Linked DNA regions of Arabidopsis thaliana. The protein of the gene in region 2 interacts with the protein of the main gene of each other region in a pairwise test. Each region holds a gene or a part of one and is shown on either strand. Other genes may lie near its edges. The genes, in order: AFP3 and CYTC-2.

Region 1 (12,500 bases), on a different chromosome or scaffold from region 2:
TCACTATTGTATGGTTCCGGGACAGAGATGATTATGTCGATCTTGCGATCTTGTAACTCCACCATGACTAGACCCTCCAGTCTCTGGCGCCGACGCTACTCTAGGCAAAGCGCGAAGCACATTGTTAATCTTCTTCCCGATATCCAACAATTGTTGGTCATGACGTGCAATTTGAGCACTCAATTTGACTCGTACAGACTCCAACTTTGAATCTGGTCTTGAATCAGATCTTCGAATCTTGTTACTCATGTCCGTCAATTGTTCGTGAACTTCAGTTAACGACGCCGTCGTTTGCTCTGCCTCTAATATCTCCGTAATCGACGGTAATTCTGGTGTCGTCACCATCTTTGATTGAAAAATTTCTTCGATCTCTCAAAAACCCCACATCACTCAAACCCTAACTTTTTCCAGCGATACTTCGATCTCGATCACGAACGCACCAATTGATAGAAACAAGATGTAATCTTTATTAACAAACAAATAATCGATATAAATTGTTTCAGAGAAGAGCTCTAGAACATCTCTAGATCATCACTCTATCTCTCACAAATGACACATAATTCAAATGCACAACAAAACAAAACATGAAAACTTCTTCTGAAAGCTACAAAGTTTATATACAAATGTTTATTCGCACGTGTCTTCTTCTTGTTTTCTTCTCTTCACACGTGCGGCTTGGATCTTCTTGTGTACACTTGATATGGGTTATCATAAAACTTGTTTAGAAGTTGTTGAAAAGCAAAGGTATAAGTCTAGGGTGCTAGCTAAGGGCTTTTCACAACTGGACAGTGAGTTAGAGCAGATGAATTATATCAGTGTATCTAAGGCTCACACAAGTAAATGACCGAAAATTCTTAAGAGGGATGTAGTACCTGGTATGAAGTTCCAGCATTGTTGTGAGCTTCCCAACATCCACTGAAGTAGAGCAGAGCAGCGGCCCTGGTAACTTCAATAGTCTCATAAAATAGGACAATCAAGCTGAGTTATTTTTGTGAGAAGTACTCAAGTGTCAGAATTGAGTTTGGTCAAAAGGTGGAGATTGTTATTTGGGTTTGACTAAACACATCATTTGGGCCTTTGTGGGCCTGACGAAAATGGCATGAAGAGAAAGAAGAACAAAAGTGGTACATTACATATCACATATATAATATCTTTATTACAACTTACAAAGAGAAGTTGTGGTAGTTGTGTGACAAGACAAGCTAAAGAGAGTTCTAGAGAAGAGAGATAAAAAGCTTCCAAAGCAAGCTTTCTTCTTCCTCTTTGTTGTTCTTGAATCTTGTTCTTCTTGTGTTTAAAATCTGAAAAAGAACCAAGGACATCACAAGTTAGTAGTGTGTGTAACCTCTTTGATATAGTTAAGCTTGGAAGCAAGAGTCCTTCCCCGAGACGTAGCGGTTAGCCGTGAACTCAGTTATCAAATTTTTGTGTTTGTTTCTGTTACAAGATATTATTATTCTTAATTTTCTCTACAGATTGGATTGATCGCCGAGATAATGATACCTTACGTATAAAAGATGTAATTGTTAGATTGGAACAAAATATTGCATATCGAAACTTCTATACAAAGTATCAAATTCTTGTCATACTAATTAGTGATTTTCAAGGGGAACTGCCAAATTTTTGTTAACATATACCTAACGGGTCACAAGTGGACATAAAAAACTTTCTTATTGGTTTTAATGTTAAAAGACTTAAACAGCTTACACAACGATATCATGTTTTGGGCGTCAAAGTTTAAACACATTGATTGATTCATGTTAAGTGAATCAATGTACCAGCACATGTCATAGCAAAGGGGTCCTTTACTCCTTTTGAGTTTCTCTTTTGATTCAAATTTGTATTCATTTACCAGATTGGTTAACTTTAGTGGGTACAGCCCAACTTAATGAAATTAAAAGAAACCATAAACAGCCCAACAAGAAGGAAATAAAGTGAAACAAATCAAATATTAATGTGACACAAATTTAATGTAGTAAAACTAAAAACTAATTTATTAGTAATATAAAACTGGTATAACTTGTTTAAATACTAAGACGCAAATATTAAATTACACGTAACAAAAAGATTACAATTCAAATGATATCATAATTGATTAGTTCAATACCCATTATAAACACTCATTTTCTTTATCTGAATAAAAAATCGTTTTTTTCCTCTACACTTTCTAATTTGGTTGATTGTTTTGCTTATCTGTTGTGAAACAATGTCAACGTGTCAAACACCCACAGGAATGACGTCGATAGACCGAAACAATAAAGTTTGGGGTTAAAAAGAGTTAAATCTCTGTGAGGTCCACCATCTGATCTCTTGTCTGATTTCTTGCGTGTTTCTTTCTCTGCAGATTCTCTTCTTTCGTAAATTATTTTTCTTTTTGTTGTTGTCAATTTTCATACGTATCTTTCACATGCTTTGTCTTCCTTTCATTGAATTTATTCAATTTAATTATTTTGGTCTATTTATCTGCATTTATACATGTTGCAATATTTGCGTTTTTATGAGTTTGAACGGAGAGATGGATTGGTCCTAAGATGTCATCATTCGCTAGTTTGATGTAAATTCAACCAAATACGAATTAGTGACGATTTTGTGGTTGAAATTGTTCATAAAATCATTACAACATTAGTGATTTTATTGTTCTGACATCTAAATCAGATCAAATATACAAATGTTATGTGATATTGATTTTCTACTAGTTTTCCATGGCATTTCATTATAAGCTATTAGCAAACAATGTCTTTATTCAAACTGACTTTTAAATATAAAAAAAGTTAGAATTATTACTTGTATATTTTGATGCTTAACTTTTTCTTCAACTCGGAATAATTTAGAGAATGATTGAAGAGTCCGACCTTTCAAAAAACATACAAAAGTAAAAAATAAGTAGTGAAAAGTCCAAGAAAAAAGAAAAAAAAAACTATAAAAGTGTAATTTTTCTAAGAGAATCTATATGAGAATGACTGCATCGTCTTCATTCGAAATCCTAAAAAATGCGGATATCTAGCTCTGTAGATCTTTTATATTTACCATATTTTTTTTGGGACGGTCATCGATAGCCTAAGCACTCAAAGTCTGACGACCCAACGAAAGGTGGTGGGCTAGTGGTTCTAGTCTGGTGGAAGTGGTCCTGTTTGTTTAAGTCAGGGATCGATTCTCTCCATATGTAGAATTGCTTACTTTTATTTTTTTGACTATAAGTATAGACATGCTACTTAAGATCTATTTAAAAACCCGGAAGATATCAAATATATAGGATATAGGATACCCTCTCTCTAGGAATTAATCATGAACCTTTCCATAGGTTCAGAGATTTACCAGAAATTATAAAAAAAAATCAAAGTTTGAACTAACACTTATAAAATATATATTTCTAACCCGAGAAAAAGAGACATTGTCTAAACATGTAAATTTTATTAACAAATAGACGGATAAAGCTAGCAAAGAATTAGAGTGTGACAAAAAAATATTGAAAATATGATTGCTACTAGATATATTAATACTTTATAAAAACTTGTTATAAAAAAATATCCAAAACTATTTGACTTCCTATGATATTAGTTCCAAATAATTTAAATTTTAGATATTTAGATATTTGGTTGTCTGTATAGATATCTTCTTTTTCTGAACTGCAATGGATATATGCATTTATAAATATGATGACCAGAAACTTTTAAATTTGGATAATTGTTACCAATTTGGAAAGACATATCATAAAACAATTTACTTACAATAATAATAATAATAATAATAATCTTGTGGATAAATTATCAAAAATATTTTGCTCTATTTGCTATTTATTTCATGAACTCTTATATTCACTTCCTTTAGTTTTAACCAATCATTATGCCATGGCATATAATAATTTAATATAAATTAAAAGTTAGACAAACAAATAAAATAAATAAATTAAGAATTAATTGTAAAATCTGAATCATATGCCCTTTTTTATAAACTCATAACAACATATAATTTCATTAATTCTAAAATTTAAACTTTAACCACTTTTTATAAAGAGTAAATTTGGAAAAATGCCCTATTTTTGAGTTTTCATTTGAAAAATACCCTATTCTTTCTTCCTTTTTAAACAATTAATTTTTAATATATAAAAATACTAAAATAGCCTCATTAAAATTTAAGAATAACTTTTTAAAAAAATAAACTTAAAACAAAAAAAATTCATAAACTAAAATTTGATGTAACTAATAATTTTAAAGATAATTATTATCTAAGCTGATATATGATTTTATTTAATTTGTAAAAACTATAACGCAAACCACTCTTCTATAAACGTATATAAAATTTTTAGATATTTATATTTATAAATATGACTGCAGAAGTTTTAAGTTTATGATAGTTTTTAAAAAGCAATTATGATAGTTAGTAACAATTTAGAAACACGTATAATTTAATTTCTTTGTTTATTTTTCAAAAATATACAAAAAATTTATGTCAGCGATTTTATTTTATTTTGTATGGTATATGACTAATTTAAAAGTGGTACTAATTAGTATTATAAAAAATTATTAAAAAGTATTTTTAACCTTACGACTCTATTTTTTTACAAGTTACAAATGTTTCATAAAATTTTATTGTTAAAACACTATGATCTAAGATATTGAAACCCACGGTCAAAGTATTGCTAACATGGTCATTACATTGAAAAAGAAAATTAATTGTCTTTACTCATGTTTATTCTATACAAATAAAAATATTAACCAACCATCGCACTAACAAAATAGAAATCTTATTCTAATCACTTAATTGTTGACAATTAAATCATTGAAAAATACACTTAAATGTCAAATATTCGTTTTGCATACTTTTCAATTTAAATACATTTAAAGTTCGACAAGTTGCGTTTACTATCATAGAAAACTAAATCTCCTACCAAAGCGAAATGAAACTACTAAAGCGACAGGCAGGTTACATAACCTAACAAATCTCCACGTGTCAATTACCAAGAGAAAAAAAGAGAAGATAAGCGGAACACGTGGTAGCACAAAAAAGATAATGTGATTTAAATTAAAAAACAAAAACAAAGACACGTGACGACCTGACGCTGCAACATCCCACCTTACAACGTAATAACCACTGAACATAAGACACGTGTACGATCTTGTCTTTGTTTTCTCGATGAAAACCACGTGGGTGCTCAAAGTCCTTGGGTCAGAGTCTTCCATGATTCCACGTGTCGTTAATGCACCAAACAAGGGTACTTTCGGTATTTTGGCTTCCGCAAATTAGACAAAACAGCTTTTTGTTTGATTGATTTTTCTCTTCTCTTTTTCCATCTAAATTCTCTTTGGGCTCTTAATTTCTTTTTGAGTGTTCGTTCGAGATTTGTCGGAGATTTTTTCGGTAAATGTTGAAATTTTGTGGGATTTTTTTTTATTTCTTTATTAAACTTTTTTTTATTGAATTTATAAAAAGGGAAGGTCGTCATTAATCGAAGAAATGGAATCTTCCAAAATTTGATATTTTGCTGTTTTCTTGGGATTTGAATTGCTCTTTATCATCAAGAATCTGTTAAAATTTCTAATCTAAAATCTAAGTTGAGAAAAAGAGAGATCTCTAATTTAACCGGAATTAATATTCTCCGACCGAAGTTATTATGTTGCAGGCTCATGTCGAAGAAACAGAGATTGTCTGAAGAAGATGGAGAGGTAGAGATTGAGTTAGACTTAGGTCTATCTCTAAATGGAAGATTTGGTGTTGACCCACTTGCGAAAACAAGGCTTATGAGGTCTACGTCGGTTCTTGATTTGGTGGTCAACGATAGGTCAGGGCTGAGTAGGACTTGTTCGTTACCCGTGGAGACGGAGGAAGAGTGGAGGAAGAGGAAGGAGTTGCAGAGTTTGAGGAGGCTTGAGGCTAAGAGAAAGAGATCAGAGAAGCAGAGGAAACATAAAGCTTGTGGTGGTGAAGAGAAGGTTGTGGAAGAAGGATCTATTGGTTCTTCTGGTAGTGGTTCCTCTGGTTTGTCTGAAGTTGATACTCTTCTTCCTCCTGTTCAAGGTACATTACCATAGTTTTTGTGATCTTTCATGAGTTTGTTGAATTTGGATTAAGAGATGATTTTTTTTTTTTAAATCTTCAAGATTGAGTTTTGCTTGTTTAGATCTTTGATTATTGATTAGGGTACACGACATTGAATCTTCTTTTGGATGTAGTGATATCAACATATCATTTTACGATTATTAGATTCCCTTAGGATGGATTCATTGTGTGGCATTGTGATTGGTTTGTTGTGTTGTTAGCGTTTTTGAGTCTTTGGCTTTTCGTTTTATTTCGTGTCTTTCACTAGGTATCTTTTAGGTGTCTTAGAGTTCGATTTTTGGCCATTTTAGGTATTGTTAGTGGAAAGAAACAAAGTTTGGTGCGTTGTAGTTACTACATTGTTTGTGTTTCCATTCCAAGGGAAAAAGTATGTTCAAAAATGCACAATGTATCAAGGGATTATCGATAATATTCGAAAGCAAACATTGTATATCTTCTAGGCTTTGCAAAGTTTTTGTTGTCTTTTGTTTAGTGTTTTACTGAAATACTTACTTGTGTTTGAAGCAACAACGAACAAGTCCGTGGAAACAAGCCCTTCAAGTGCCCAATCTCAGCCCGAGAATTTGGGCAAAGAAGCGAGCCAAAACATTATAGAGGACATGCCATTCGTGTCAACAACAGGCGATGGACCGAACGGGAAAAAGATTAATGGGTTTCTGTATCGGTACCGCAAAGGTGAGGAGGTGAGGATTGTCTGTGTGTGTCATGGAAGCTTCCTCTCACCGGCAGAATTCGTTAAGCATGCTGGTGGTGGTGACGTTGCACATCCCTTAAAGCACATCGTTGTAAATCCATCTCCCTTCTTGTGACCCTTTGGGTCTCTTTTGAGGGGTTTGTTGTATCGGAACCATGTTACAAATCCTCATTATCTCCGAGGTGTATAAACATAAATTTATCGAACTCGCAATTTTCAGATTTTGTACTTAAAAGAATGGTTTCATTCGTTGAGATTAATTTTAGACCTTTTTCTTGTACAATGTTTAGTCTTTGAGATAATATACCGGCTTGTCTAATTTAAGTGTGATACATATTAAAGATTGTCACGCTAAGGTTAAATTATTTAAAGAGGATCGTCTTCGTTTCTTATATGTTTTCTATTTTCTGTTGGTGGTGATAACTGTTTTTCTTACATCAACGACGAAGATTTGCCAATACTTGGACACCCTTCAACAGAGCCGGCCCAAGATAAATTCTTCCCTAAAACAAAATTTATTTTTGGCCCATCATTAAATATAATCTACTCTATTATTTGAAACGTACATTTAATGAGGTGGGCATTTCGCAGAAATAACAAGTTTGTCATTGAGTTAAAATTTTTCTATCATGAAAAACCCGTTTAAAAAGACGCGGATCCTTTTGACCCGAATTTTAAAATAACGGGTCATAACTTCTAATCTTAGCCATTCAATTGATTTTTTTTTAGCCGTTGATTTTCTCCAGTAAAGTTTTGAAACCCGACCCGGATGATGAACCGGACTACCTTCTTGGTCACCGGGTCATCGGGTCAACCGGGTTGGACCACGGGTCAATTAGTTAAAATTTATTTAATAAATTTAATATTAATAGAAATTTTAGAGTATTTTATAAATATATATATATATATATTTTTTTAGTATTTATAAATATAAAACAAAATAATCATATCATGTTTAAAAAATATAAAATTATATTATGTTTACCAAAATATAAAATTATTTACACCCAAATATATATATATATATATATATATATAATCAAACAATAATAATAAAGTGATTAAAAATTTTAAATCCAACTAAATGTCTAACACCGTAACAAATATAGTAGGAGATCACCAATGATAGAAATAAACTAATAAAACATCGTGAATTCAAACAACTAATCTCAATTGTCTCTCTCACCATTCGATTCATTTTTAAGGCGGTATTGTAAAGTCTTCACCAAAATCTAAAACATCGAATGAATTTAAGAACTGAAAAAACTTTTAAAAATAATTGAATAAAGTCTAAAATCCCATATTTTACTGCAAAATCAAAAAAAAAAATTAAAACCCACACCCGGCCGGTTCAACCGGTTCACCGGGTCACGGGTTAATTGCGAGTTTTTGAGGGTTTTTTCGGTTTTGAACTTATCGGGTTTTAGCACTAAACCCAAACCGGAAAACTAATTATACTCCTATATCAATACGGATTTATAATATTTATTATATTCTAAAAGATTAATAATCCAATCAGATAATTTTTAAAACATTTCCTAATTAAATATAACAAATCGGTTTTATATATATATAACATTATAAATATCGAATTAATATGTTTGAATTCGAAATTAGCTTAAATATTCTAAATTTATTTAAATAACTAGAAAAACACTTTTAACTAAACTATTTTTTTATGTTTGATAATTAAAATATAAAAATATGTTTAAACATTTTAAAATAAAATGAATTAAATTTTCGGTTTATATTAATTTCTGTTAATTAAATTAATTGAATTCCTTTTTCAGCAACTGAATCATATTAATTGAAAATATTCAATGCGTATATTTCTTTCTTGAATTCGAATATATCACTTCTCCATAATTATAGGTAATCAAATATTTAGTTGGATATTCATTTTTGAATTAGCATAAAGTTTCTGAACAATTTCCATAATTAAATAACTACTTATAAGATAATAGCTAAATAGTTTCCTATAATTATGGGATTCATCATAATTTGTAAACTTGAATTCCACGATTTAATATTTTATGTATATCTTTTACCTAAAAATTTATATCTTATAAATACTGTACGTCCCATTTCAAGAACTCACTCAGCAATTTCTATTTTCTTTTACTCTCTCGCCTCTTTTTTTATTTTAGCAGAAGAGAAAAAGACCATGGAGAAAACTGAGGTTTTGGATCGACGAGACCATGGAGAAAACTGTAACGCCCGTGAACCGGAAAATCGGTTAAGGTTTATTTTTAAATCATCCGATTTAATTGGTTGGGTTAATTGGAAACCCTAGAGTGTGCCTATAAAAGAAGGAAACTCGAAATTAGGGCTTTAGTTAGCCACTTTTCGTTTTATAAAGGAGAAAAAGAGAGAGAAGGAGAAGGAGCAGAATCGTTAGGGTTCGTGAGAAATCGGCTTCGACATTTTCCTATAATTATGGGATTTATCATAATTTGTAAACTTGAATTCCACGATTTAATATTTTATGTATATCTTTTACCTAAAAATTTATATCTTATAAATACTGTACGTCCCATTTCAAGAACTCACTCAGCAATTTCTATTTTCTTTTACTCTCTCGCCTTTTTTATTTTATTTTAGCAGAAGCGAAAAAGACCATGGAGAAAACTGAGGTTTTGGATCGACGAGACCATGGAGAAAACTGTAACGCCCGTGAACCGGAAAATCGGTTAGGGTTTATTTTTAAATCATCCGATTTAATTGGTTGGGTTAATTGGAAACCCTAGAGTGTGCCTATAAAAGAAGGAAACTCGAAATTAGGGCTTTAGTTAGCCACTTTTCGTTTTAGAAAGGAGAAAAAGAGAGAGAAGGAGAAGGAGTAGAATCGTTAGGGTTTGGGAGAAATCGGCTTCGACATTTTCCTATAATTATGGGATTCATCATAATTTGTAAACTTGAATTCCACGATTTAATATTTTATGTATATCTTTTACCTAAAAATTTATATCTTATAAATACTGTACGTCCCATTTCAAGAACTCACTCAGCAATTTCTATTTTCTTTTACTCTCTCGCCTCTTTTTTTTATTTTAGCAGAAGAGAAAAAGACCATGGAGAAAACTGAGGTTTTGGATCGACGAGACCATGGAGAAAACTGTAACGCCCGTGAACCGGAAAATCGGTTAAGGTTTATTTTTAAATCATCCGATTTAATTGGTTGGGTTAATTGGAAACCCTAGAGTGTGCCTATAAAAGAAGGAAACTCGAAATTAGGGCTTTAGTTAGCCAACTTTCGTTTTATAAAGGAGAAAAAGAGAGAGAAGGAGAAGGAGCAGAATCGTTAGGGTTTGGGAGAAATCGGCTTCGATATTTTCCTATAATTATGGGATTCATCATAATTTGTAAACTTGAATTCCACGATTTAATATTTTATGTATATCTTTTACCTAAATATTTATATCTTATAAATACTGTACGTCCCATTTCAAGAACTCACTCAGCAATTTCTATTTTCTTTTACTCTCTCGCCTCTTTTTTTTATTTTAGCAGAAGCGAAAAAGACCATGGAGAAAACTGAGGTTTTGGATCGACGAGACCATGGAGAAAACTGTAACGCCCGTGAACCGGAAAATCGGTTAGGGTTTATTTTTAAATCATCCGATTTAATTGGTTGGGTTAATTGGAAACCCTAGAGTGTGCCTATAAAAGAAGGAAACTCGAAATTAGGGCTTTAGTTAGCCACTTTTCGTTTTATAAAGGAGAAAAAGAGAGAGAAGGAGAAGGAGAAGAATCGTTAGGGTTTGGGAGAAATCGGCTTCGATATTTTCCTATAATTATGGGATTCATCATAATTTGTAAACTTGAATTCCACGATTTAATATTTTATGTATATCTTTTACCTAAATATTTATATCTTATAAATACTGTACGTCCCATTTCAAGAACTCACTCAGCAATTTCTATTTTCTTTTACTCTCTCGCCTCTTTTTTTTATTTTAGCAGAAGCGAAAAAGACCATGGAGAAAACTGAGGTTTTGGATCGACGAGACCATGGAGAAAACTGTAACGCCCGTGAACCGGAAAATCGGTTAGGGTTTATTTTTAAATCATCCGATTTAATTGGTTGGGTTAATTGGAAACCCTAGAGTGTGCCTATAAAAGAAGGAAACTCGAAATTAGGGCTTTAGTTAGCCACTTTTCGTTTTATAAAGGAGAAAAAGAGAGAGAAGGAGAAGGAGTAGAATCGTTAGGGTTTGGGAGAAATTGGCTTTGACATTTTCCTATAATTATGGGATTCATCATAATTTGTAAACTTGAATTCCACGATTTAATATTTTATGTATATCTTTTACCTAAAAATTTATATCTTATAAATACTGTACGTCCCATTTCAAGAACTAACTCAGCAATTTCTATTTTCTTTTACTCTCTCGCCTCTTTTTTTTATTTTAGCAGAAGAGAAAAAGACCATGGAGAAAACTGAGGTTTTGGATCGACGAGACCATGGAGAAAACTGTAACGCCCGTGAACCGGAAAATCGGTTAGGGTTTATTTTTAAATCATCCGATTTAATTGGTTGGGTTAATTGGAAACCCTAGAGTGTGACTATAAAAGAAGGAAACTCGAAATTAGGGCTTTAGTTAGCCACTTTTCGTTTTATAAAGGAGAAAAAGAGAGGGAAGGAGAAGGAGCAGAATCGTTAGGGTTTGGGAGAGATCGGCTTCGTCATATCAAATCGTGGTCAAAGGTAACGAAATTTGGTAGAGTTATTCCCATGTCGTTTATCGTTATGCTCCAGTTTACAGAACTTGTTTCGTGAGACACGTTTTCTCAGACGCGAATTGGGACCAGCAGGGATTGAAATTGAGATCGTGGTCTCGTCTGTTTTCGATCGGGACGATATTTTGTGGGAAGCTTCGTGACGTCTAGGGATAACGTTTCACCAGAGCGATTTAATAGTTAACGGTTAGTTTGTATTTTAGGGTTTCGTCTTTGAGGTTGTTTGTTTCTGTTTTTTATGTCCAGTTTGCTTCAAGGTTGCTTTTGGTTGTGACTTGTTGTAGGAGTTTCTGGACTGTTTCAGACGCAAGGAGAGTCTCTCCTGAGTTTAATTATTATTAAAATCAATTTGTTAAGGTGAGTGCGTGACCATTAGCTTATCTGAGCGATTGGGTTGTGTGATTTGTTTTGTGTGATGATACGTAGGTGTGGTGAATGTGTTTTGGGTGAATTGTTCAATGACTGGTTTGTTTGTTTTGTATTTGTGATTATACCCTTTTATTTGCTTGTGTGTATAACTCGTAGATGGGAGGATCGCCTCACTAAGTATTTATGATAATACTTACGCATCTCATGGTGTTGTTGATGCAGGTAAAGATAAAGTGTGATCGTGGAATCATGGCAAGGAAGAGAGGATGATCTAAGAACTCGTTTGTTTTATTTTTGGTGTTTTTTGGTTATTGGAACCCGGTTAGGATTCTTAGTTATTCTTGGTTTTGTTGGTCGAATTATTTATTTATTCATAAAATAGTATTTTTGACTTGTGGTTTAATTGTTATTTTATTGGTTGGTTTAATTAGATATTTATAGGAATATTTAATTATATTTATAAAAAAAATGGGTTGGGTTGTTTCAAAAACAATATATCGAGGTATCCTTTCTCACTCTCTATGTTTTTCCATAAATATTTTTCATATTTTTCTCACATCCGTTTTTTAAATATTTATGCAGGTAGTGTGGGAGATTAAAATGTAGACCCACACATAATTTTGTTAAAGTATGTCTTGCT
Region 2 (12,278 bases):
GTTGGCAATACAAGAAGAAAACAGAGTAAAAAGATTAAAATCACTTTCTATATTTTTCCATCTTTTATTACGCCCGAACGCAAACCAAGAAAATCTAGATTTTAGTTAATTTGGCCATCACATAGAATCGGGTTAATTTTTTTTTATTATTATTATGTCTTATTATATAAGTCTGAAGCAGGATATTGAAATTAAGTAAGTGAAAATAGAGTAAAACTACTATAAATTAATAATAATTGCTGGACACTGGAAATTTTTGTAATTTATAAAGGTACGAAATCTATCGAATAAAGTAATAATTAAAAATTATAGAAGAAGCTAAAAGTTATTAAAATTTAATAATTATTAATTTATATAGAGATTTGACTAATTTATATTTTTTTTAAAACTTTTCTATCTAAAGATTAGCTTTTCGTTATAATTAATATTCTTTTATAACCAATTACAAGTAAAAAATAATTATTACGTTAAAAAAGAAAAAAGAACACTACCAAGAATTAATACAAATTTAAGGAATACAAACAATACTATAGTCATATACCACTAAATTGTCTTACATATAATATAACTTTATAAACTTATAAAGTTATAATATATATATATATATATATATATATAAGTTTAATTATATAATTATTAATTCATGATATGAATAAGAGTATCATTTAATAGTCGAAGAAAAGAAAGTGTCGTCATTTAATCAACGCAAAAACGGGTTGATGTAATTAGCCAATGTGAATATTTCAGCGTTAATTCCTGCTCAATCAAAATCAGTCCGTTACAGTTAACTTAATCCGAACTATATCGAACGATTTATTACGTCAATTATTCTCTCAGATGAATATTTTGTCAACTTTTTAAAACAGTAAAAAAACCAAAAAAAAAAAGTTTAAACAAAACAAATCTGTCAATGATCCAAAGATTTTGGTATTTCTTGTGGATCATCGTTGTAAGCATTAATAAGATTTATTTTTTGGAGAAAAGAAACTAGTGAAAAAATAAGAAAAAATAAATCTTATTAATGCTTACAATGATGAGTTATAAAAAATACCGAAATCTTTGGATTATTGACAGATTTGTTTTGTTTAAACCATTGTTTTTTTTTTTTTAAGAAGTTGACGAAATGTTCATCTGCGAGAATAATTAACGTAAGAAATTGTTCGATATAATTCGGATTAAGTTAACTATAATGGACTGATTTAGATTGAGCAGGAATTAACGTTGAAATATTCACATTGGCTAATTACATTAATCCATTTTTGCGTTGAATAAATGACGACACTTTCTTTTCTTCAACTATTAAAGATATAATTGATTACTCCTACTACTATTGTTATCACTAGTTATTATTAGTGGTAGCTAATTATAGTGAAAAAAACAACTAAACAAATTTACACAACCTTAATGGCTAAGTGAAAGAGCACATATAGTAGGCACTCAATATTTGTGATACTCATGAATTTCTCCATCTTTCTCTAGGGTATGTATTTCTTCCCATTAAAGTTAGCTTAATAGATTAGTTGTTTAATTATTTCAAATTATGTATCCAATTTGCACTAATATAGTGTGATAGTGTGAAGTTTGTACAAAATTTATCCTTCACTCGATTAGTGATATAGTTTTTATTTTGGATTTCGAATCTCACCTAGAGTCATGGGTATAAAAATCGAATAGAGAATAATTTTTTCAATTGCAAAAATACCTAATTTATAGGAAAAATCTCAAACCCTTTAGCTTCAATAGTAGGGTATTTAACAGCAAAGTAAATTAAAAAAACTCTAACCCTACTTCAAACTTAGCAAGTAGATTAATATGACATGCATAAAAAAAAGTCCATGAAAAGTAAACTACTAATGCACACAACACGAGTTACTCATAATTCATAGGTTGAATGGTTTTCTTATTAGCAATAAGCTAGGGCTCGAATATGAGCAATTTGCCACATAAGTGGATAAACACGAATTTGAAATGAAATCTACAGCTTATGATTCTTCTAATGATACTAAATTTTACAATCCAGACTCGTGTCATCATACATTTTCTACAAGATGAAATCTCACTTGTCCGAAAACCAAAATTCCAAAATGTTGCAAATCTCACAATATACAGTATTAATATACTCATACATCTTAGCATATAGATCAGTAACACTATAGAGATTGTTATATAAGAAACTCATTCAATCCCAAAAGTACAAGAGTTGTGTTACAAACTAATTAAACCTAAAAAGCTCCAAATACAAACGTATCATCACATATCTAAATAAAAATCATATATAATTCAGCTTAAAATCACAAATCAAACACAAGAGGTTATAGATGCCATGAAAGGATAAGTAAATGCAACAGAATCACATGAAGACATATGTAAGCGTAATCAATGCATATAAGATTATGAATATATCGGATTAATAGCTCGACCGCTTCTACTGATTTGGTAATGAGTGACCCACAAGTCAGGCAAGAGGATTGTTTTATTAGCCTCTTTCTTTCTGGTGAATCTGGTCTTAGCCATATATGTAACGCTCGTACTAATCGAAAAATTTCGACTTAGAAATTAATATATCCTTTGTTTAGGAAAAGAAGATAAAGTTTTAACAAAAAGTGTTGTCTCAATAAGGCTAGAAATTACACGTGTTGGCATAGTTTTGACCATCGAAGACATGTTTTTGGTTTCTTTTGTTGGTCGTGCAATTTGGAATGATCTTGAATTTCCCAAGCGAATTGTGAACACATTATCGTTCCATATACATAAAAGAATTGGATAAAGAAGCAGCCATTACAAACTTGTTGAATACCGCCTACTGATACGCCGCCGTTTTGCGATAGCAAAGAGAAAAGGTAAAATCAGTCTGATCGATATATGAAAAATCTAACTTTCAAATATGTAGTATATATATCATCAATATTACACCAAAGCTACTATAAAATGGATCTGATAGTACATTGATTTATACACAAAAACTAGATCATAACGCGTGCTATACAACACGGACATTAATATTTTGTATAAATTAAATTGTATACTTTTGTTTGAATTACATAAGAAATTGTATAGTATAAAAGTTATGCCATAATATTATTTACTGTTTTTACTATTTGCATATAATGTTGCATTGGATTGATTTTGTTTAAAAATGTTGTTTTTATAATAAATATAATATATGTAGTTTTAAGTAAATGTGTAAAATTTGTATACAAGTTGTTTTGGTAAGAAACATGTTTTCTTTGTATTAGAGGATCTAATTTTTGGCCTAACTTAGAATTAGTCTTTGTATACTATTTTTGTTATATTTGTGGACCTAATTAAGGCCTATATTAGATTATCTTTGATATGGGTGACGAAAAAACGGATCCGATAACCAACCCAATACCCGAACCAAAAAATTGGGTTAGGGCGGGTTAAATTTTTAGGAAAATTCCTTATTGGATAGAGTTTTAGTAAACCCGTGGATATCCGATTGGCCCGGAAATTACCCGTTACCCAAAAAGAGTATTCAAAAACCCAAACATTAATTTAATATCCAAAATATTAATTATATTTAATCGTAATATTATCTAATTATCTAAGATTATAATTATAAATCTAAATATGTCAATTAAATTTGGACCTAAATATCCAAAACAACTAAACTATTCAAAAATTATTTATTATGTTTGTCAAAATTTAGTAAAATATATTCAGATATAATTAAATTTATTAAAACTTAACAAATTTAAAAGTTTTTTTTGTTTGGAGATGCGCTATCTACATACAAATTTACCGTTTCTATTTTTTTGGGTATTTTTAGGGTCTGAAACTTTTTATCCAAACTGACCCAAACCCAACTGGATCAGACCCGAACCAGAACCGAATATTTATAATTATTCTATTGGGTAGTAAATCATATACCCATTAATCCCAAACCCGAACGGGTTCTACCCGAACTCGAATGGGTTACTCATATGCCCAATATTCTCTGATTTAATTATCTAAAAACTCTTTAAAAAAAACATATGTTTTACTAACTACTTTTTATTCAAAAAAATTTAGTGTTTAAAAAAACATATTATTTAGTGTTTAAAATTATACACTTGTATTTTGATTGTTAATTTTAGAGTTTCACATGTAGTATACCATCTTGTATTAATATCGATTTAGGGCCTGACTGTTTTAAACGCAGCGGGTGCGGTTGCGGTTGCGGGAGTTTGCGGAAACGGGCGGTTGCGGTTTCAAGCGTTATCAAGCGTTTTGAAAATTCCTTATTGGGTAGAGTTTTAGTAAACCCGTGGATATCCGATTGGCCCGGAAATTACCCGTTACCCAAAAAGAGTATTCAAAAACCCAAACATTAATTTAACATCCAAAATATTAATTATATTTAATCGTAATATTATCTAATTATCTAAGATTATAATTATAAATCTAAATATGTCAATTAAATTTGGACCTAAATATCCAAAACAACTAAACTATTGAATGAATAAACAACGATGCTATGAAATAGTTAAAGAATTACACTAGCTAATGAATGAATAAAAGGATAGATGATAGTTATGTTTGATTCTTGATTTTGATTTTCATCGAATGCCATAATTGAGATAATAAGGTTACAATATATTGATTAAGGTTTTCTGATAAAAATAAGATATATAAAAGATTAGATTATTTTAATTATAGTGATTAGAATTTGGGTGGAAGCCACCATTATTTAATTTAATTAAAAAAATATTATTTTTTTAACCTAACCGCTACCGCCCGCAACCGCAAACGCTTGCGGGAAGGAGCTTTTGAAAACGGGCGATTTCGAGCGGTCCAAAGCGATGTCTAGCGGTTTCTATGATTGGTGTCAATCGCTAACAATCGCTACCAATCGCAAACGCTGCGTTTGCGGGTGGTAAAGGGAGAACCAATCAAGCCCTTAAACCCGTCAATTCTAGGATTTTCCAGCTTCTATTAAATATTGAATCACATCATACACATAAAAAAAATCTAATATGTTATTAATTATTGTAGTATATAAGATTAAAAATTTTTAAAATAATATGTATGAAATTGAATATAAATATTCAAATTATGACCCAATACTCAGTAGAAAATTTTCTTAAATCTATTTTTGATCCGTTATAATATTTTTTATGTATTGAACAGTTTATATTCGTTTTTAAAAATTCAAATTATGGTATATGCGAAGCAACTCTAATTATTTTTTTATAACGATGATATTATTTTTTCGCAAAAATAGAATCATATAAAGATGAGAGGTGAACTATAATAATTAATAAAAAATTAATATAAAATTTAGATATCAAATCTAATTTGTTGATTTTGATTGGTTACTTTTTTGGAAATTAATAATGTATTTCGTTTTTTAATTAAATTAGTATTTAACTTAAATTTTTAAAGAGATGAATTAATTTACTCTTTAAATTTTATTTCTAATGGCATACTTATGTAATTACTTACAAAGGTTATATTTAAAATGTACTTCCCAAATAATATAGTAGGATATCCCAATGATATTTAGACAAAGAAAAATAAAAAAACAGGTCAATCTTGCTTGCGAGTATTTGGGGAAGGAGTTTTGAGAGACAAACCAAGATCTCTGCAAGACTCTTCATTAGGCTGCAAGCTTCCAAGTAAAGAACCAAAAGCTGTTCTTGAAGCTTAAATGTGGCAAATGTTCTTGTGGGGTAATAAAATCTAATAATATGCATTAATTATAGAACCACTATGCTGCATAGGAATTCACTTTATATATGCATCTTAGGTGGTAAATAATCTTTTATGCCACTTATCATATGGCAACTCGTAATGATCCACCATTTTTATTTTATGCCAAAATGCTTCAACTTTATCTTCCAAAATGAATGTAACACTGTCAGATTTTCCTTTATGTTGTCTTTTATGTTCTACTGATTTAGCTGAATTATGCGCATCTCTTACGTATTTGTCTAATTATTGAAATGAAAATGAACAACTGAAAAAAAGATTCTAAACTCGTAACAAAAGTAGGCAAGTTGAATTAGGAAAATCTCATGACTATCGTGGTGGAAATTGGTTCTTAGCTCTTCACATCAATAACGAATATTCCACTTTATAAGAGGCAACTAGCCTCTTCAACAACGTAAAAAGAAAGAAAGAATAAAAGACCATACAAAAAGCAGTTCATGACCATAATATTTTTGGTCTGATTTTATTTAGCTGTGAGAAAAAAAAATGCCAGCTTCATATATCTGGACGAGCCTGTCTAAGCAGTACCTTCCTTCAAATAAGCGATGAGATCGGCACGATCTTGCGGTTTTTTCAGTCCAGGAAACACCATTTTTGTTCCAGGGATGTACTGTAACAAGCAAAGAAATTCCACACCAATTCAATCAAATTGAGATCTTATCTCTTCATAATTGCTCAAAAAGAAACAAGCGACCCAAAAGTGTGAAGAAAGGAGTCAGTATTAGCCAAACAGCATTTTCTTGACAGACAATATTATGTTTCGATATTCTAGAATATGCAATATAATAAATTGGAACACTGTTGAGATGATGATGCACACACAGGTTATGATGCACCAGCTTAAAGAGTGAAAGATGAATCATAAGATTTGTGGAAAATTCCACAAATCAGCTCAATAAAGAGACAATAGACAAGAGTGAAGGAAAGACTCAAGTATTAACCAAAACAAATGTTGCTAATTGCTTGATATTCTTGAACATGCAATAGAAAACAAATGGCACAACATTGAGATGTTGCACTTATTAGTGTACCATTTTGAAAGATGATGTCCAATTTCACAAATATGGAGATTTTTGCACCAAACCGAAATGAACAAACAAATTGTGTTTCTAGATCAACCTAACAATACTTAAGAAGGTATAAAGACTCATAATTCCTTTTGCAACAAATATTCTAAAACTAAAGACCACTAATCCACAAATTAGCTTATGAACAATCAAGAACCTTAATCACCAGACTCTATGATCGAAGTCCATTAAAGATTAAAGAGCAATCAAATACCTTCTTAGGATTCAACAAGTAATCGTAAAGAGTCTTCTCCTCCCAATTCACAGCCATGCTTTTGTTAGCAGCAGAGTAAGAATATCCTGGAGTTGTTCCAGATTGTCTTCCAAACAATCCATTCAAATTCGGTCCTGAATTCATAACAAAATTCCAAAATTCAAAATAAAGACATACGGATCCTAAACAAACACAAACGAAGATCAATACGAGAAAACGAAACGCATGTGGTAGATCCAGATTCGAACAAAGCGTAACCAAATAAAATCAAACGATGATGATACAGAATATTGTGGATCTAAGAGAGAATCAGAGGAACAGACCTTGTTTGTGACCGGCACCTTTCTCGACGGTGTGACACTGAGCGCACTTGGTTCTGAAGATCTTTTCACCGGCTTTGGGGTTTCCGGGAGGTGCTTCGTCGAACGACGCCATTGAAGAAGCAACAAGGAAGAAATATCAACGGTGGCTTTTTGACGGTTTCTGATTTTTTTTTGAAATGACCTTTTTTATGAGAAGTGAGAAAAAGAAGGTTCGAGGAGGCAGAAGAAAAATAGAGGTGGCGTGAGAGATACACAGGCCATACGTTTTGTTCTGGGTACACGTGGCGTCTAAATAGTGGTTTATTTTGAGTCGGTTGACTATTTATTTCTGTTTTTTTTTATTATTTTATAAAACTCGGTTTAGGAAGTGGGCTTACAAATGGGCTCAGAAAGTAAATATTCGGGCCTAAAATTCACATATTTGTTTTTTTTTATTTTTATTTTTTACAACCTTTATATTTATAACCCAAAAATATTTTCTTGACTACTATATATAGTTTTTTATTTAATGAAATATTATTTTTAGTGAAAAATAGTAAAAAAACAAAAAAGGTAGTTTTGCAAATCTCCCAAAGTAAAAGGTAATTTTAAGACGGGTTTTATTTACATTCCAACTTTCATTTTCACAGCTTTAATTTTCAAATTTCGTTGTAAACTCACTTCTCAAATAGTAATATTTAGAAGTTAACCAATTAATTAAAGAGGTATGCCAAAAGTGTTAAAAATAAAATACATATATACACACATGAAAATATGCAAGTCCATTCTTTTTTTTTCATTTATGGAAATCTATATTTGTCATTCTTTTAATTGTTTAAAAAGTTTAGTGAAACATTCAACTCACGATTGATAAATTTTCATGTTCTAGAAGTTTTATACACACCAAAGATATTATTATTTTCATATATGATATATCCAAATGTAATTCAAGTAAAAATGATTAAAAGTTTTATAAGTAAAATGAGTAACAAACTAACAATGACTCAACTATTTTTCAGGTAAAAAAAAGGAAAAATTAATAATCCTTATTTAACTCTAAAACTTTAGAGAAATTTGCAAAAATACCATTTTTCTCCTAATTATCTTTTTGTCCACTTTTACTCTTGGGCAGTTCGTTTTATTTCTTCTGCAAAATCTGTATCATCTTTGGATCCGAAAATATTGGAATATCATCACGATTTTAGAAATGAAATCAATTACTTCTTTAAGCAGACATGGATATTTTACTTTTGTCAGTTGCAGAACTCCATAGTTAAAGTTTGAAAGTGTTCTCGTCAATGATAAAACTTCAAATTCAACTTCAAAATAATTTGTATTTTGCATTATAGTTATCATATTGTTTAGTTCATAAAAGCTTATATATATAACTATAAAACATACATTAAATAAATATTATAAGCAAATTGATTAATAAATAAAACATTACATTACAATATAAAATTACATATAAATAATAATAATAAACTCACAAATTAAGTCACAACTTCCAAATAGAATACAAAAACACTGAATAAACTTGTGCATCATATGTACTCTCTAACATCACAATCTCTATAAATGTTTTCATTTCAAATCAATTTAAGTAGAGATGAGGGTGAATTAAATTTCATCACATTGTCCGAAAGTAATAAACCACATGTTAATATTTTGTTTTCATCAAATGAATAAATTCTTAATCTACTAATAAAAGTGCAGCAACTAAGGGAAAGAGCTATGAGATAGCTCAACAACATATGCAAAATCTAGCAAAATAAAAATAAAAATTAATGAGTTTATTCAGTTTGAACTACTAAGAATGATACCCAAAAACAAAATTCAAAAAAAAAAAAAAAAACATTCGATCACATCAAATTTGTATATATATAATACTTTGGTGACCTTTGTATTGTTGTAGTATTTTATTTCTTGTAACATTTATGTGTTCATGTAACTTTATTTCTTTTATTACTACATTTTGTATTAAATTTGTTTAATATAATATTGTTATGTGAAGAAAAAAAATATGTAGGATTTCTTTTCTATTAATACTTTAAATTTATTTTGTTTATTTAATTTTATATGTATAAAATTAAATTTATAAGGATATATGTGAAATAGTTATGAAATCTAAAATTAGGAATTAAATTGATAAACAATAAGATTAGTAAACTTATTTGTTTGATGTATAAGTAAGTGTAGGCGCTGAAATGCAAAAAAAAAAAAAAGAAGTTATTTTTGGGAGTCAAGTTTAAAGTTTTGAAGTTATTTTTCTAGTACAAAAAAAATTCATATTTGAAAATAAAGAGTAATTTTGAAGATGTCCTAACTCGTTTTGGCTCTTTTTCTCGATTATAATCATATATATGAAGTTGGCCAACTCTCTCCATATGAATGACACATCATCACACAAGAAAAATGACATGTGTCATTTTATATTTTTTAAATTAAAAATTAAATAAGCAACTTAATTGTATCATCAATCCTACTCTTAATTGATTTTTTCTAAATAAAAATAAATAAATAAATAAAAAATTATGTTAAAAATTAAGCACTACTTTTATTATACTCTTTTTATTTTAATAATTTTTTATTATCAATAATTACTACTCTATAATGACTAAAATTATAGTCTTTATAGTACTAATTGCCCAACTTTCATATATATAATTTTATTTTGAGTCTTTGATGACATTGACATTCAAGTTTGTTCAAATATTAAACCTTTAAGACATTAGAGCTACCAAATAATTTAATACACGATCATTTCTTTTATATGGATATATATATGCAATGATAGAAGATCTAAAAGTATTGATTTAAATAATATTTTAACTTTTGCTTTCTTTTTATTCTTTTCATATGAATACTCTTGAAATCTTATTAGTTTATATCAATTCTATACATTTAATCATGAGTGTATAACAATGTTGTTGGAATACTATATTAGAAGAATACATAAAAAAAAAAATAGTTTATATATATATATATATATATTCAAGTTAGACCGTTTTCAAATCATCCAAGACACGATCATATTTCTAATGATAGAATATTCAAAAGTGTTGACTTAAATGACATTCAATTTTTGCTATATTTTTATTTCTTCATTTGAATACTCTTGAGATCTTGTTCAGTTGATGTCAATTCAAACTTTAATCATAAGTCTATCACAATTTGTTGCAGTACATAAAACAAGGAATTAATTTATTTATAATCGAGTTAGACAAATTTTAAACCATACAATTAACATAGTTACACATAAATTGTATCAAAATATCATATATTGTTGTTATATGTATTTATGATAGTGAAAAAATATTAAATCTTATAAATAATCAGCTTTATACATGAAAATATATAAATTGATATTTTGAGTTACAAATGAATTCAACCATAAAAATTGTAATTACATATTATAGATCTAATTTTATTAACAATACAATAATAAATAAAGAATAAACATAAATTAGCAAAAAAATAAAACTCATCTAATTTTTTAAAAAGTTAAACCAAATCAATTTTAGTTTTACTATCTCTTTATTCAGTTTGATAATAATCCTTTTTTATCCTTTTTTCATGAGACTAATTTTTGATAACAATCAGTCAGCTTAACATTGAAAGTCCGAGCATAAATGGCTAATGGGATAATCATGGAAAAAAATTTAAAAAAGTTAAATCAAATCAAATTTATTTACTAGGTTTAGTTAGGTTTGTAGGATTAAGATTTTGGGACTAAAATATAGTTTAACACCCCTAATTATAACGTTTACAACATTATTTAAGGTTTGATACAAGAAAAAGAGAGATGTGAGGGTGTTTAGTTAGGTGAGAAACTCTGGACCGACCAAGTGGTCGATTCAAGTCTGTGCAAAGCCGACAAAAGGGGCAAATCTGTCATTCACTCTGTTTTCAACCTGAGATTCACCAGAAACAAAAACATACGGCGGAGTAAAAAACAAAGGCGACGGAGATACCAAGAAAAAAAAAATACAGAGGAGGAAAAGAAGCACATTGTCGCCGTCTCTTTAACTTCCTTCATCAATCTCCGTCTCGTGAATCTCTGTTTCTTTGATCTGTAATTGCGAATTCGTCGTTTCCCAATTTTGAAATTGTTGTAATGTCGGCGGTCTCGTGCTCCACGGCGAGTTCTAGCGGAGGATGTGCATTTAGGTTTCGATCAAAGACATCAATCCATTCTCCTAATTTCATCAGAATTGGGACAAATTCTCAGGTTTTGAGATTTTCCTTCTCTCTGTTTCAATCTCTCTAGCATCAACAAGTATAAAGTTCCTAACTTTAACTTTTTACGCTACTTGAAGAGTGACAGATTCTGTAATCATCGTTTGGAATTGGTACATGGAACTCGTAAAGTGAAAGGAGCATCTGTACGTATGGCATTAGTTGAGGAGAGACAATCAACGAGCAAAGATGTTGCTGAGCCTCCTCGGGTCCTGGTACATAAAGTTTGAGACTTGAACACATTTTGATGTGAATTCATGGACTTTGATGATTGATTATATCTTGTGCCATTGTTTTGCAGGCGTATGATCTTGTTCAAGGAGCACTTGTAAGTTATCTGAGAGCCAGTCTGTTTTATATTTCTTCACTGGAGTGTTTAATCTTTGTGTGTGAAGGAAAAAGTATTGAACTTGATAACATAAGTTTGAGAGATTATCTGTTTTTCAGATTGATTGTGGACTGAAATGATTTATACATACGCAGGTGAAATGGAGATGGAAGGATGACAAATCTGTTCCAGATACACCTACTGCTGTTCTCCTACACGGAATTTTAGGGAGCGGGAAAAACTGGGGTCAGTGTTGTGTGGTTCCTTGTAAATTGCTTCAAGTTTGGCTTATACTTAATTTCTTCAATATTATAAAAGGAACTATGAAACCAGTAAAGTCATTCCTGAATCTCTTCATGTGCCTGTTAGTGGCAAGCAAAAAGATCATCGATCTTTTTGAATCGCTGAATTGTTCG

The links.
Region 1: the proteins of CYTC-2 (region 2) and AFP3 interact in a two-hybrid assay, tested with the Arabidopsis thaliana proteins (one large-scale study listed by BioGRID).

The regions. Positions count from the first base shown.
Region 1 is NC_003074.8:11,376,782-11,389,281, reverse strand, and holds AFP3 (ABI five binding protein 3), read left to right. Parts: upstream 1-5,136; 5' UTR 5,137-5,624; coding exon 5,625-6,015; intron 6,016-6,561; coding exon 6,562-6,866; 3' UTR 6,867-7,068; downstream 7,069-12,500. UniProt on the Arabidopsis thaliana protein: Acts as a negative regulator of abscisic acid (ABA) response and stress responses.
Region 2 is NC_003075.7:6,272,233-6,284,510, reverse strand, and holds CYTC-2 (cytochrome c-2), read right to left. Parts: upstream 7,564-12,278; 5' UTR 7,429-7,563; coding exon 7,317-7,428; intron 7,128-7,316; coding exon 6,994-7,127; intron 6,323-6,993; coding exon 6,230-6,322; 3' UTR 5,889-6,229; downstream 1-5,888. Other genes in the region: AT4G10030 (alpha/beta-Hydrolases superfamily protein), read left to right, coding at 11,413-11,526, 11,615-11,749, 11,836-11,862, 12,018-12,108. UniProt on the Arabidopsis thaliana protein: Electron carrier protein. The oxidized form of the cytochrome c heme group can accept an electron from the heme group of the cytochrome c1 subunit of cytochrome reductase.